Linked DNA regions of Lepisosteus oculatus. The protein of the gene in region 1 purifies or fractionates together with the protein of each later gene. This does not show direct contact. Links are inferred from orthologs where the notes say so. Each region holds a gene or a part of one and is shown on either strand. Other genes may lie near its edges.

Region 1 (8,057 bases):
TGATTATAATCGAGCCCTTTATTCGATATCTGCTGATTCAGGCTGTTTTACTCTGCTGATTCAGGCTCCACACACAGAACAGCAGAGCCTTTACGTGTGCAGCAGCACCACAACTGTGGAACTCACTGACAAATCTACAAGAGACTGTGTGAGATAGAAAAACATAAGACTATAATTACAGAAAGACCAAGCATTTCACTAAAGTATTTAATGCCAATTTTCATTTAATTTTAGTTTACTAGGGCCGATTGCTGGACTTAAACAGAACTATAAGGCTTCTTTATTATAGCAGCCATGTCTCTCTTTTCACAATATTCTAACTGTACATCACAGCCCCAGATACTGTATTTTACTAGATTTGCCTACAGCTGAAACTACAATACACATGGAAATTCAGTTCAACTTTGTCATTTACTTACACAGGCACATAGTACAGTGTATTTTAAAGTAGTTATTCGCCACTGTTAATAAACAAAGATTGAATCCCATTACCTGCACCCGAAGGGCCTGACCGCACTGTACAGGGTGTACGCGTGCACGTACATGGCCACTCTGTCAGCAAGGTGCTGCAAGAATAAGACAGAAGTTGTAATCAGACTATCACTCCATGCTACTACCCCAGAATAAGCCGACCATACACGGAATCTCTTTAAAATTGTAAAAATAAACAGTGCAGAAGTTACATAATACAGTTCAGTTGCTGTTTTTACCAAATGTTGCCTTCCTTGTGTGAAGGCATCTGTGAAATAAATACATCTTCTACATGAAATCTTGCCTCTTGTCAAAGCAATATCAGAAAAAAACACCATTTTCTTTCAAGAAGGTATTTCCTCCTAGTAAATGTGATCTGTCACTGTGCGTACTGGTAACTTCTGTCAGTTTCTACTTCTCTTTCGAATGAAGAGGTCAAGGACTAAACATCTTTCGTCAGAAGTTACACGAAAATGAACCATTCTTTTTAATGGGATGATAATGGTGGCTTAGGGACTATTTTATGGTTGTTAAAAAAATCTCCTACCTTCAAGGGAATGTCATGACCATAATTGGACCTGAAGTTGGAAGCCTCCTCTCGCGCAATTTCCGAAAGAGATCGCGCATCTGCCAAGAGTCCTGCCACCGCCTGTGGGGCAAAACGAAAGGCATCTTTATGCTCCTTTACCATCTTTTCTAATGGGTATTTTACATCTAAAAGTGTGAAAGAATGCCAACTCGCAGCCTAGCCTTTTTTGGTGAAATGCTGAAACAGACATTACCATTCCCACATGCCGGTCGATGTTGAAGATGCGTTTGTTTGAACCCTCTTCATACAGCTTGGAGAGGACAAGCTTTTCAACTCCAAACACCACCCCATCTTTGCACCTGATCCCAATGGCTGTGCTACAGAACGGAAACAAAAACCATTTTAGTAGCAGCAATGAGAGCAAATTCTGGCTGGGAGAATCCAAAGAGTATGAACAGACCAGGTGTTTAGTCCCTTCTTAAAAACCAATGGACTGAAGCAAACAATCAAAAAATATTCTGAGCTTCTGATGGGACTAATATAGTACACTGCACACACACACTTCTCTATCTTTGTACCCACTGAATCAATATTTCCTGGAGCCATGACATCACTTTAGTTTTACCGCTGAAATGCCAGTGGAAACTAGTCTTCAAAGTCATTGCCATGCAGCAGCTCACGACAATCACATGTGTTTTGCGCAGCACTAAGTATCTAACAGGCACATCAGCAGCAAAGGTGTACAAAACGTTAAGCATGCCTTTGCAATTTTCTTCACAACACCAACTCCTTTCTGCATTCACAGTTCAGAAAGAGGAGACAAGACTCACCTGCTGTTTTCTACTGCTTTCATGGCGTATTCAACTTGAAAAACTCTCCCGTCTGGGGAGAATGTAGATGCAGACAAATCATACTGAAATCAGAGGTGTACAACCACAATCAGACGGGAGGATTGAGCTCTGTGAAACCACTTCTTTCAGAGTTCATACATCACATCAGTGTAGCTCACATGGGTGCCATCTGTGCTATTCAGCCATAATTCGAAACAAATTGGTAAATTATTCTGAGATGTGTCTGTGACAATCACATTAATTCACGTCAAGTCTTTGTCATTTTGCTTTACGAATGAAAAAAAACAACAAATGGTAAACGTGGCATCCCCGTGCCCCAATCTAGGTATTAGACAAAAATATAGTACTCTTCTGTGCAGAGTTGTTTTAACGAGCTTAAATAGAGAAGCCTCTGATTGCACCCGGTGAATTACAATTATAATATCGAATTACACGTTAAAATATAACAATTCAAAGCACATCTTTTCCATTTCTGCCTTGTGTTCCACCTTGTGTTGAATATTGTTTATCATTTCTACTCTTTCAAAATGGAAAAACAACAATACAGGCAACGGTAACATGACTTAAAACCCAATCATTCCCACAGACCCCCCCCCGCCCAAAGTCATGCTTGCCTTCCTATAATTAAATAATGTATAAAATAGGAAGGAAATAAAATATAAATATAATAGGAAGGAATGGGTAGTACTGACTCTATGATGAGTTGCTAACAAATTGCTACAAGTACCAATCGCTTTCACTTTCACCATCGCCGACCGAGCTAGTGACTCAGCAAGCATACAAGTCCGCACAGTCCTCCGGACAATCGTTATCAGCGCCTTGCAGCGTATCTCACAGAGCAAAAAAAAAAATAAAAAACAAAGTACAAGAGAGACAACCTCTCCGTGACAGACACGTTCATGACTGAAAGCACAACAAGAAGCCACCGAAATTCAGCGGACCTCACCGCTCACGTACGGCTAGCTAAAAAGGCCGGAAAACGCTTAGTTCTAAAAATGCCCAACTTTGCTAAGATACAGTAATTTATCCGCCATAATGGCAGACATTTCAAAGACTCGTCGCTTACCCCGGTGCCAATTGAACTCATTTTGGGCTACAACGTCAAGAATATATGTATTGTTGCCCCTACAAGCTGTTCTTTCTCGCTGGCTAGGTTTGTCAATTTCCCGACTTGCCACACTCTCCCACCGGCTAACAACGCACAAGCCGATTGGCTGAAATCTCGCCCCACTGGGATGAGCGGCGCTGCCGGGACTGTCCTCGGCTCTTCGGACAGCGCCGCCTGCTGGTGGAAAGGACAAAACGGCCTGTTTCCCCTTTGGAAAGCCGTCACGTTGTACGGGGTTGTGGCTCATCAAACTTCTTGCGATTCTGCTTCACGCAGAGTGGAGAGTCCGTTTGTACCACGCGTACCTTCTCGAAAAATACAGCAGAAATTCCGAAGCAATGATTTCATATATGTATACACTGTTTATGATTTGTGATGCGTTATAAATGTTACATGTTGTTATGTGTTATACTGTGCATGTGCAATAGAGTGATGTGCATTGTTTTTCTTATTTTTTGTAATAGAAGAATGTGCAATGTTTTTCTTTTCTTCTTTTTTTTGGTGTTTGCATTCTATTTAAATGTACGGGAGTGCGTGGTGTCCATAAAAAAATTCCCTCAGGGGACAATAAAATCTTATACTAGTTCTGTCTTTTTCAATTAAAAATGCTTTTCTCATACAGATGGTTGGAAATGTATACAATACCAGATTTGAAATATATATGTATATATACTTTAACATATTATTTGTGTCATACTTAATTGAATAAGTCATTTTCGACATCCAGGCTTGTAGTTTTGTTTATGTGCGATTGTTCCGTATACTCAGGTCGCTACAATAACAGGTGGGTGCTATCAGCTTCCCCATATCTACCACACATAATAAAAATAATTAGAAATAATAGAGAAACTCAGGAGCAATGCATTTCAAAACAAAAAAATGATGAACAATAGTTTTGGACAAGAATAACTATGAGTAATGTTAAACTACTTTAAACTACTTACATTTGTATAGCACGTTTTAACCCAAGGTGCAATGTAAGTTCATGTAAATGTGTAAAGTATTGTGAATGTTCCTAAGCAAATTAAAAGCTAGTTCTAGTGTGACAGATTCAAGATAATTATTCAAAGGAAAAGCTCAGATCTACTGATGGACCAAATCCCCCATAATGTTAACATTAAGGTGGATTAAGAAGGAGATACGCCTCATTTCTTACTACTGTACTTTTTTAAAAATACGTTTTTTAAATACGTTTCAATAAGTTTTGAAATAAGTATTTTCAATAAGTTTTTATTGAAACCCCAGAAATACAAAAAAAAGGAGACAGAATATTAAAATAGATACAGAAATAGACACTTCACACCCAGGGGAATTGACAAGCTAAAAGTTATACTTTTTACATATTTTCATTGTATGGAAATATCTCCATTGCCTTTTGATTCTTTAAATTTCTAATAGAATTCAAATAAAAAGGGAATTCAACTTTAAAAGCATGGATAGGGTGAGCAGTATTAGACCATTTACTTTTGTGGCTGAAGTATTCAGCCCAAATAATGGCTGACTAGTGTACTTTCCCTTTCCTTATCCAAAGCGTTCGACTGCCCTCTTCAGGATTCACAGCGCCCCACTTGCCTGCAACCAGACACCTCACTCACTCCAGGGCATTTTCTCTCGTCGTCTTCCCAAGTGGAAACGTGACATCAGCGGAAGAAAAAGTTTCTCTGTTAGGACACAAATCCGAACAACAACAACAACAACAATAATAATAATATATAGAAGTTACTAGCCGTGATATAAACAGAAAATCACCATCGGTCTGCTCGAGAACCTGTCTTTTTCGGTAAGTGATGTGTACCGCTGTGTTTGTTGTTTCCCAAAGTGTAAACAGGTGACTACAGTTTTAATCAAGAAAACTACAAGTACACATGTCGAAGAACCTACAAGTTGTGAAATCGCGGACGTTGTGCTCATGACACGATTTTCAATAACTCTTTTTTTAAATAGATGCACGTAGATGTGTCTCGCTGTTCCAAGAAAAAAAAAGTTAAAAGTATGATTTTGTTTTTAAACGGACATAAAGTAGGATAGGATAATGCACTGGAGGATTAAAAAAAATACATTTTAAATATCTGTCTCCCATTAAAAAATTAAACCCACCTGAAATGCGAAAAAAAAGGTGTCTGTTCTCAAATTATGTTTTATATGAAATCGATGCGATAGTTCTGCAAAAAAGAAGCATATATTGCATATATTTGCAAAAAGCTGAAGGCTGAAATAATTCGTCATTGTATATCCTACCAAAATACGAATTGAGTGAGAGAGAAAAAATGCAATTCACGAAGAATTGACTTAAAACAAATCCAATGAATATTCGTTTTCACAACCAGGCTCAGATGGGAGTTCTGTTCATCTGACGTTCATTAAAATACTTTGTAAAATAATGTTGGTAATATCAGAACCGCATGGGTGGTGTGGGGGGAGTTGAAAGTTTCGACCACGGTGACACGTATTTGATTGTTAAAGATAAAAGGTGCTCAACAACAACAACTACATTGTTTCCAGAACAATTCCGCAGCCGGTGACCTGGAAGTGCTCGCGGTTTCTGCTTCGGCCCAGTGCTGCTGGAGACGCTGTCGGGGGGGAGGCAGGGGGTCTGCTCTGTGAGAAACACCCCCCGGGCATGGAGCAGGACAGGGCTCTGCTGGGCCGATGCACGCTAGCAGCCGGGCTCCTGACTTGCACAGCGCCCTTCAGAGGGTTAAACGGAAAATGGCGAGTTTGCAAGGCGAACTTGCCGAAATGTAAGTGCGCTTGCTGCTGTGGTCTCTCTGTTGTTGGTCCCGGTCTTCAAACGCACGGCTGAGACCGGTGCAACAGTAACAGGGCGCCTCGGCTCTCCTGACCCAAGAGTATCGGCGAAGGTCGAACCGGAGGTGCAATTTCGTGTCTGTGCGACTCGCGTTTGTGTTCCGCTCGCCTGTATTGTTGACTGTCCAGCTGTCACTCATCATGTATTTTACACCCAATCCAAGGCATGCTTTATGGCATTGCACGTTATCACATTTTTTACTTTTCAACGTTTACTTAACCACAGTTTTTTTTTCTCTTACAGCTAACATTGTTTCTGTGCACCCGGCGCTATTGTTTTACATTTACTTTATATATGATTGTCCTGTTAATAGTGTATACTGTCAATGTATTTAACATTCTCATTCACTCCTAATTTTTCCATCAGTTGTGAAATCACTATTTTCTCTTGTTTTTCGAAAACTTTAAACATTCTCTGGAAAGTATCCTAGCTATATAAAGTAAAAAAAAAAAGAAACAGTAAATGTTTCACAGGAAAAGTATTCGACCTAATTGCTATAACACCCTCGTGGTCGGTAAATAAAGAATGAAGTACAGTGTCCCCATATTGCAATTAGTTAAAACTGCGTAAAGAGAGCTAGATGGTTTTCGTTTTGCTGATCATAGGAAGAGGTTATGTCAGACCACAATCTGTTTTAGAAACAAGATATTGAACATGTTGTTGTTCGCTTGAGCAGCGGAGAGGAACCTGCAAAGACTGGTTTCTGGTTACGAATATGGCTCTTAAAATGGTTTGTTTTGTTTGCTAATGTCAGTCTCCGCACTAGATAATGAGTATCCCTAGAGTTAACAGGTTTATCCAAGAAAATAGTTTAAACCTTATGCTGATTTTATCTTCCTTAGCCCACTGAATCTAGGCAGGTGTGAGCCTGGCCAGTACCTGGATGGTTGACCTGGGAGAAATTAAGGTTCCTGCTGTAAGATGTGTTAGAGGGGCCAGTAGGGGGCGCTCATCCCACGGTCTGTATGGGTCCTAGTGCCCATAACTTATAGTGGATAGGACACTATACTGTAAAAAGGCACCGTCCTTCGGTTGCGATATAAAACCAAGGTCCTGACTCTCTGTGGTCATTAAAAATCCCAGGGCATTTCTTGAAAAGAGTAGGGGTGTAACCCCGGCATCCTGGCCAAATTTCCCCCTGTCCTTTACCAATCATGGCTTCCTAATAATTCCTATCTATGAACTGGCTTCATCACCAGAAAAGGGCTATATAAGTGTAAGGAATTATTATTATTTAGGAAATGCTCATAATCTGTTTTCCTATAAGACTGCAAAAACTCCATCATTGTTCATTGCCTGAGAAAACCTTCACACTTTGCTCTCGGGATGAAATGCCAGATCAGACAAACAGGTGCCAGGGAACCCACTGAATCTCAAGGACTGGAGCCACCAGTCGCTGGGCACAGAGTGACTCTGAAGCGTGGTGGTGCAGGGGAGCACTGTGTCATGGCAGTTAACGCTGCTGCCTCACAGCTCAGTTCCAGCTAGGGCATCTTCTGTGTGGAGTTTGCATGTTCAGTTTTGTCCCCCAGTTTCTTCTCACCTCCGAAAGATGTGTTGTCAAGGTGAGCTGGTGTTTCTGAAAGGTCATTGTCCTTGTCCCTGACTGTGTGGGTGCTGTATTCCACACAGGGCATAATCACACCTTGCTGTGGCCTGTACCAGAACTGAGAAGCTTTCCGATAATTGGTAGCGAATGAGGCAGTATGGCACTCCTCATCATCCATGCTTTCGTAGTTATTTTTCTCTTTTCCCTCTAGGGGGAAGCCTTGACCTATTTATTAATCTTTAAAAATTAAGAGGTCAGAGTGCAGAATTGGAAAGAACACAGAGCTTTCTTTCCCAGAGGGAGAGACACCAAGCCAATATTCCTGCCCGCTCCAATGCTTAGCAGTGAAATGCAAACTTGGTCTTCTTTTGCAAAACTTGTAATGAAATCAGATTTTTCTAAACAGTTTTTGTTCTTTTTTTTTCTCTTTCATTCATCTTCTTTTTTGATATCTTGGTTGTGCGAAATGTACACTATCTAAACCCTTCTTTAAGCTTTCTCTATACTTTGTTATGAGAGAGATTAGCTCTAACCGCTTTGTAATCTGTTAAGATGTTCATGTGATAAGCTTGTCTCACTCAATTAAAAACTAAGAAGTTATTTAAAAGTTTCTTGTAGCACACTGGCTATGTAGGTTGTTGTCAGACCCTATGTGTCATTTTTTTTCTCTAAAAATCGAGATGCATAAATTGCAGTAAATTCATAGGTGTATAATTTTAATTAATTAACTGTTAATTTCC
Region 2 (7,683 bases), on another chromosome or scaffold:
AGGACACACACACAGTCACACAGTCCGTACCAGCAGCAGGGCCTCCATCTCCGCGATCTTCTGGGGGAAGAAGGAGGCGACCAGATTCTCGGCCTGCGAGGAGAGACACGTCAGGGCAGCCCGTGAGCACGCTCCTGCAGGCAGATCCCCCACAGCAGCGCGCCACCCGACCGGCCGGGCGCGGAGGGGCCTGCTCGGACCCCAAACCGCTCACATGGGCTCCAGCTCCAGCTCCAGGGCGCCCCCAAGCCCTGGCTCTCCCTCCCCCAGGACACCCTTTCAGGAGTAACCTGACTGCACCGCAGCCTGGCTTCCCTTCCCAAACAGCTTGACCACACCACCAGAGAGTCTGACCACACCACCAGAGAGCCTGACCACACCACCAGAGAGCCTGACCACACCACCAGAGAGTCTGACCACACCACCAGAGAGCCTGATCACACCACCAGAGAGCCTAACCACACCACCAGAGAGCCTGATCACACCACCAGAGAGCCTGATCACACCACCAGAGAGCCTAACCACACCACCAGAGAGCCTAACCACACCACCAGAGAGCCTGACCACACCACCAGAGAGCCTAACCACACCACCAGAGAGCCTGATCACACCACCAGAGAGCCTGACCACACCACCAGAGAGCCTGACCACACCACTAGAGAGTCTGACCACACCACTGGAGAGCCTGACCACACTACCGGAGAGATAGACCACACCACCACACAATTTTTGTTCTGTCTCTTCGGAGGCCTTCTGGGGCGCCTTGCTCAGCTGTAGCACGTTTACACCCCAATTTCCAACTACTCTGCCCTCACCAGCGCCCACCCCAGGACTTCACACAACTAGGCAACGGAGCCATCCCCCAGTCTGGGTGCACCTCCCTCTGAGAGCGACAGTTCCCTGAACAAAACACTTCGCCAGCCTCTCCTGTCTGCTGGAGGGGTGCAGGAGTCCGGCTCGCTGGGGCCCACGCTGCCCCTCTCTGAACCGCAGGAGCTCGACCACACGACAGCCCCACGCTGCCCCTCTCTGAACCGCAGGAGCTCGACCACACGACAGCCCCACGCTGCCCCTCTCTGAACTGCAGGAGCTCGACCACACGACAGCCCCACGCTGCCCCTCTCTGAACTGCAGGAGCTTGACCACACGACAGCCCCACGCTGCCCCTCTCTGAACCGCAGGAGCTTGACCACACGACAGCCCCACGCTGCCCCTCTCTGAACCGCAGGAGCTCGACCACACGACAGCCCCACGCTGCCCCTCTCTGAACCGCAGGAGCTCGACCACACGACAGCCCCACGCTGCCCCTCTCTGAACTGCAGGAGCTTGACCACACGACAGCCCCACGCTGCCCCTCTCTGAACTGCAGGAGCTTGACCACACGACAGCCCCATGCTGCCCCTCTCTGAACCGCAGGGGCTCGACCACACGACAGCCCCACGCTGCCCCTCTCTGAACTGCAGGAGCTTGACCACACGACAGCCCCACGCTGCCCCTCTCTGAACCGCAGGAGCTCGACCACACGACAGCCCCACGCTGCCCCTCTCTGAACCGCAGGAGCTCGGCCACACGACAGCCCCACGCTGCCCCTCTCTGAACCGCAGGAGCTCGACCACACGACAGCCCCACGCTGCCCCTCTCTGAACTGCAGGAGCTTGACCACAGGACAGCCCCCGACACCTGGCGACAGCTAATGCACAAGTCTACAAGTGACACACAGTTAACACAACACAGAGACAACACACAACACACAATTAACACACAACTATAACACCCCACGAACACTGCACACAGCTAATGCACAAGTCCACGTGACCCACAGTTAACACAACACAGCAAAAATGCACACAGCACAGACGCGACACACAGCTGATACACAGCAGCCGAGCAGACAGCGGGGACTCCTGTGACCTGCCATGCGCTCTGAGTGGGCTCACCTCTTTGGACAGCTGTGCACAGAATCCATCGACCTGCAAAACACAGCGAGACACATCATCGTCCAACTCCTCACAGTTCACTCTCTCCCCTCTCCAGTCCCTCTCTCCTCTCCAATCCCTCTCTCCTCTCTCCTCTCCAATCCCTCTCCTCTCTCCTCAGTCTCTCCCCTCTCCAATCCCTCCCCTCTCTCCTCAGTCTCTCCCCTCTCTCCTCTCTAATCCCTCTCCAGAGGGTCTCCAGACCCCTCACAAACCCTCTCCCTCCTTCTCTCCACTCTCCCTCCTCCTCTCCTCTCCAGACCCCTCACAACCCCCCTCTCTCCTCCTCTCCACCCCTCTCTCCTCTCCAGACCCCTCACAACCCCTCTCTCCTCCTCTCCAGACCCCTCACAACCCCCCTCTCTCCTCCTCTCCACCCCTCTCTCCTCTCCAGACCCCTCACATCCCCTCTCTCATCTCTCTCTCCTCCTCCCCACCCCTCTCTCCTCTCCAGACCCCTCACAACCCCTCTCTCCTCTCCACCCCTCTCTCCTCTCCAGACCCCTCACAACCCCCTCCTCCTCTCTCCCAGTCTAGGAGTCAGTGTTTTGACAGGTGTAGCTCAGGAGGTGCAGACACAGAGAGTCGGATTACACTCGCACACTCCGAGATCTGTCTGTCTCTCTCTTTCCTAGACTACTGCCCCCTCATCTCTCAATAATAATAATAATAATAATAATAATAATAATAATAATAATAATAATAATAATAATAATAATAATAACAACAACAACAACAATAACCTGTTTCTTCGTCTCTGGCTTCATTTCCAGCGGATTCATCGCGGTGCGGTACTTGAGTAAGGTCTCGTCCGGGCTTTGCTGCTGGAAACACCGATTACTGTCACGACTATCGCTATTATCACGACAGCAAGTTCACCTGCGTTACAATTGGCTATCGTGCAATTTACCGTGCGATTATACCCCCTTCGAAGGTGAATGTTATCTGAAGATGTGCGCTGCTGCAGGCCTCGACAGACACGGTTAGTCAGCACTGTCGAAGTGAAACCGAAAGTTATGGAGAAACCCGAACATACGAACTAACAGAACAAAAAACTCAACTTCACTCATGGGGATTTCCTTGTAGTCTTCTAGCCCCGGCCGTCCCGGTTGACTGAAGCGTCGAAAGCGGCGCAAAGGAACTACAACTCCCATGCCTAGCTTCGTCCGTATCTTTAACTTTCTAAATCATGTGCATATTATACAGGTATTTATTTCTTCAGTAATAGTCTTTTGTGATCTTATGCCAACCCGCATTGATTTAGGAGCAATATTTATTTATAAGAGGCTGAATAATCACTTTTCGTGTTACGTGCGGGGGGAGAGTCTCTGAACTCGCTCCGGTACCCGAGAGCGTCTCGGCGGCTCGCTGCTGTCGTGACGTCACGGCGACCGAGGCACCCTGTGACGTCCCTGTCCCCACAAGCTCCGACGCTTATTGTACTGTTGAATAGAAAATTTGGAAAAAGAGCATTTATTTAAAGAAAATGTATAAGTCATTCATGGTAAATGTCACATTCATAAATCAAAATGGTCTAATAGTACTCCCCTTTTTAGTGCTTTTGAAGTGGAGCTGAAACACTTTTTAATTTCTATAATAAATTTGAGAAATAATGAAGCAAGGAAAACACATGATATATATAAAAATACAATTTGATCACATCATTTACTTCACTACCTCTGGCGGTTAAATGTTTTTTTTTTCTGTTTGTGTTTTTTTCTCTCGTACCTGTCTGTTTCGGATCCTATGGTTGTAGTTGTATTTGTAAATTCTTTATATGTTTAATAAAAAACAAATAAAAAAGGCTCCGATGCTACTCCCCGCTTCTAACGCTTGCACGCTGGAGATGAGCTATTGCTTAAGCCATACACTATAAAGACGCTGAGAACATCGTAAACTCGAGCTTAAGATCGATCGTTAATTGACGAGTGTTTCCCCAAATCCGTCGTTACTGAAGTAGCACGTTAAACCCTTCGCACTCGACGTGCTCCCCGACCCGCTCGTTCATCACTAAGGGCTTCTTAAACTGGCCTCCTCCTGCCCACCCTGAGCGCCAGAGATCCCAGACAGAGCACCGTCACTTCACGGCAGGGGCATCCTCTGGGAATACAGGACACTAAGAGTTTATATGAAGGAGTTTGATATTTTGCTGTACCATGTAAGAGGAAATTTGGAAAACGAACATTTATTTATACAGTAATGAATTTATTAGTCAAATGGGCCAATAATACTCCCTCCTTTAGTACCTTTGAGGTGGAGTTTAAACTGGATTTAAATTCCATAAAGAACGTGCAAAAATGCTAAAGCAAGGAAAACATTTGATATTTGTAAACATGTAGCTTGGTTACATAAATATTCACCTCATTCCCGCTGGCAGTTAATTGTGTTTTTGTTCTGTTTATGTTGTCTGTCTTTCATCTGTATTTCCCCTCTACCTGTTTGTACGGGAGCGGCGAGGGCGCATGCCCAGAGAACCCCAATCCGTTACAATACACTTCATTCAAAAATAAAAACGGCTAAGTCTTATACTTGACTAGATGATATGATTGCCGCGATGAAATGCAGTAATGCCTTATTTAAGTGAAATCATTGGGTCTCACATGTATTTATACTGTTGCGCCACGCAGGGCGCGTAAGCAGGCGCACGCCAGGGCGGACTGAGAACAGCGCCCGGGGGCGGGACTGCGGGGCTGTGTAGAGCCGGGCGGAGGCTGGGAGACACTCTCTTCCCTTCGTGTGTGTGTGTGAGAGAGTGTTAGAGTTCCTCTCTCTCCCCCCTCAGCCCCGGGCTCACTCTGGACCCAGCCCCTGTGTGTGTGTTTGTGTTTGTGTTTGTGTGTGTGTGTGAGAGAGTGTTAGAGTTCCTCTCTCTCCCCCCTCAGCCCCGGGCTCACTCTGGACCCAGCCCCTGTGTGTGTGTGTGCAGGGCTGTAACCCCTGTCCCTGTCCCTGTGTGTGTGTGTGTGTGTGTGTGTGTGTGAGAGTGTTAGAGTTCCTCTCTCTCCCCTCAGCCCCTGTGTGTGTGTGTGTTAGAGTGTGAGAGTGTTAGAGTTCCTCTCTTTCCCCCCTCAGCCCCGGGCTCACTCTGGACCCAGCCCCTGTGTGTGTGTGTGTGTGTGTGTGTGTGTGTGTGAGTGAGAGTGAGAGTGAGAGAGTGTTAGAGTTCCTCTCTCTCCCCCCTCAGCCCCGGGCTCACTCTGGACCCAGCCCCTGTGTGTGTGTTTGTGTTTGTGTTTGTGTGTGTGTGTGAGAGAGTGTTAGAGTTCCTCTCTCTCCCCCCTCAGCCCCGGGCTCACTCTGGACCCAGCCCCTGTGTGTGTGTGTGCAGGGCTGTAACCCCTGTCCCTGTGTGTGTGTGTGTGTGTGTGTGTGAGAGAGTGTTAGAGTTCCTCTCTCTCCCCCCTCAGCCCCGGGCTCACTCTGGACCCAGCCCCTGTGTGTGTGTGCAGGGCTGTAACCCCTGTCCCTGTCCCTGTGTGTGTGTGTGTGTGTGTGTGTGTGAGAGTGTTAGAGTTCCTCTCTCTCCCCTCAGCCCCTGTGTGTGTGTGTGTTAGAGTGTGAGAGTGTTAGAGTTCCTCTCTTTCCCCCCTCAGCCCCGGGCTCACTCTGGACCCAGCCCCTGTGTGTGTGTGTGTGTGTGTGTGTGTGAGTGAGAGTGAGAGTGAGAGAGTGTTAGAGTTCCTCTCTCTCCCCCCTCAGCCCCGGGCTCACTCTGGACCCAGCCCCTGTGTGTGTGTGTGCAGCGCTGTAACCCCTGTCCCTGTGTATGCACCTTTCCTCGTTTCTCGTTATTAAATGTGTTGTTCAACCCCATTCCTCGAGCCCCACGCCCGCTCCGTTCCCTACCGAAACCCGCGGTCGATGCCATATTTAAAAGTCCAATACCGTTTTATGTTCTGTCGTGATTGATGACGGTAAAGCTTAGACCTGCTTCTTTTCAAACTTGATTATTGGTCCTGTATTTGTCGAGTTGAGTGCCAAGCTTGGTTAGTTCATTGTTACAGATGTCGTGTTAATAAGACCGATTAAAATGGAGTTCCAATAAACCCAATAACTATTAATAACAGCAGTATTTTCTCATGAAACACTGATTCTTAACAGTGGCAGCGCGCTAAAAAATATTGCTTTAAATCGAAGACGCCGTGCAGGATGCATACACTCTCCACACAGTCAGTCTTGGTTTTCTTTTACGGCACGTCAGTCATTTATTTTCTTTTCTCTTAGAAACAATAAGTGTCCCATTTTGTGCCTATCGATACGCTTTCGCTTGAATGGCTGTTAAATTATGATGTCGTGTTTACTTCATATTCCTTTTCACAACTTAATTTCAACCCACTGAAGGACCAAAACCGACACCATATAATGAACGTATCGTCGATCGATTGTTTTATCAGCAATTTTGCTAAGCGACTTCAGGGGCGGGGTGAGCAAAGAAGTACTTTATACTCGCTCTAAAATGACCGATTAAGGGGGGGTTTGGGGAAACGCGCGAAAAAGTAGTACGTACATCGTAATGCTGCTCGTTAGTCTCTATGATTCAGCGTTTTCGGGGAAACTCACCCCAGATTTGTAATTATCTCCCCAGGACCAGGACTGGAACCCCTGACCTACAAGACTGGGGACTGGGGCTCCCCAAGACCAGGACTGGAACCCCTGACCTTGTGAGTGACCCTGTTTCGGACCCTAGCACCTGCGGCGGTGCCTGCGACGCCGTGTCTCACCTGCAGAGCGGCAGGGCGCGCGTCGTGCCGCGTGTCACGTCTTCACAAGCTGCAGCGCGCTCCGGGACCGAGCTGTAGTTTGCCGGGTTGTCCACCAGGTGGCAGAGGCGTCACCCGGCCACGTCGTTCCGGGACACCGAGCGACCGGACGTGGCTGAAGGGGAGTGATCTGGAGATAACACGTTGCCACTGATGAATTAGGTCAAGACTGCAGAATCAGATAATTCTCTTTCACAAAATAAAGAATTTCTGCTTCTGTTATTTGAATTTATTATTCAGATTTTGGCTTTGCGCAGTTAATCACCTGAAATGATCAACTAAAATATTCATGTTAAATGACCTCGCTTAACAGACTCTCCACTCTTTGGTACCAACACACCTTTTCCATGTCAGCTACTTCATGGAAGATTATCTACACTCTCTAGAGAATTCACTTCAGTCCCTTTAGTGAGCAGGATTCACTACATTCCCTCTAGTAAAGAGGATTCTCTACATCCCTCTAGTGAGAGAATTCACTACATTCCCTCTAGTGAGAGAATTCACTACAGTCCCACTAGTGAACAGGATTCTCTACAGTTCCTCTAGTAAAGAGGATTCACTACAGTCCCTCTAGTGAACAGGATTCTCTACAGTTCCTCTAGTAAAGAGGATTCTCTTCAGTTCCTCTAGTGAAGAAGATTCACTACAGTCTCTCTAGTGAACAGGATTCTCTTCAGTTCCTCTAGTGAAGAAGATTCACTACAGTCTCTCTAGTGAACAGGACTCACTACAGTTCCTCTAGTGAACAGGATTCACTACAGTTCCTCTAGTAAAGAGGATTCACTACAGTTCCTCTAGTAAAGAGGATTCACTGCAGTCCCTCTAGTGAACAGGATTCTCTACAGTTCCTCTAGTAAAGAGGATTCTCTACAGTTCCTCTAGTAAAGAGGATTCTCTTCAGTTCCTCTAGTGAAGAAGATTCACTACAGTCTCTCTGGTTAACAGGA

Evidence for each region.
Region 2: the proteins of psma3 (region 1) and psme1 purify together in Homo sapiens (affinity purification with western blotting; 4 studies listed by BioGRID, with this or other methods). This does not show direct contact. The link is inferred for Lepisosteus oculatus from reciprocal best matches to the Homo sapiens genes PSMA3 and PSME1.

Annotation. Positions count from the first base shown.
Region 1 is NC_090703.1:4,537,112-4,545,168, forward strand, and holds the start of psma3 (proteasome subunit alpha type-3), read right to left. Parts: upstream 3,057-8,057; 5' UTR 2,939-3,056; coding exon 2,918-2,938; intron 1,914-2,917; coding exon 1,831-1,913; intron 1,378-1,830; coding exon 1,254-1,377; intron 1,121-1,253; coding exon 1,019-1,120; intron 567-1,018; coding exon 493-566; intron 1-492. Other genes in the region: mipol1 (mirror-image polydactyly gene 1 protein), read left to right, coding at 5,609-5,700. UniProt on the Homo sapiens protein: Component of the 20S core proteasome complex involved in the proteolytic degradation of most intracellular proteins. This complex plays numerous essential roles within the cell by associating with different regulatory particles.
Region 2 is NC_090699.1:14,406,832-14,414,514, forward strand, and holds the start of psme1 (proteasome activator complex subunit 1), read right to left. Parts: upstream 3,015-7,683; 5' UTR 2,887-3,014; exon of another isoform or gene 2,798-2,886; 5' UTR 2,759-2,797; coding exon 2,720-2,758; intron 1,971-2,719; coding exon 1,938-1,970; intron 94-1,937; coding exon 31-93; intron 1-30. UniProt on the Homo sapiens protein: Implicated in immunoproteasome assembly and required for efficient antigen processing. The PA28 activator complex enhances the generation of class I binding peptides by altering the cleavage pattern of the proteasome.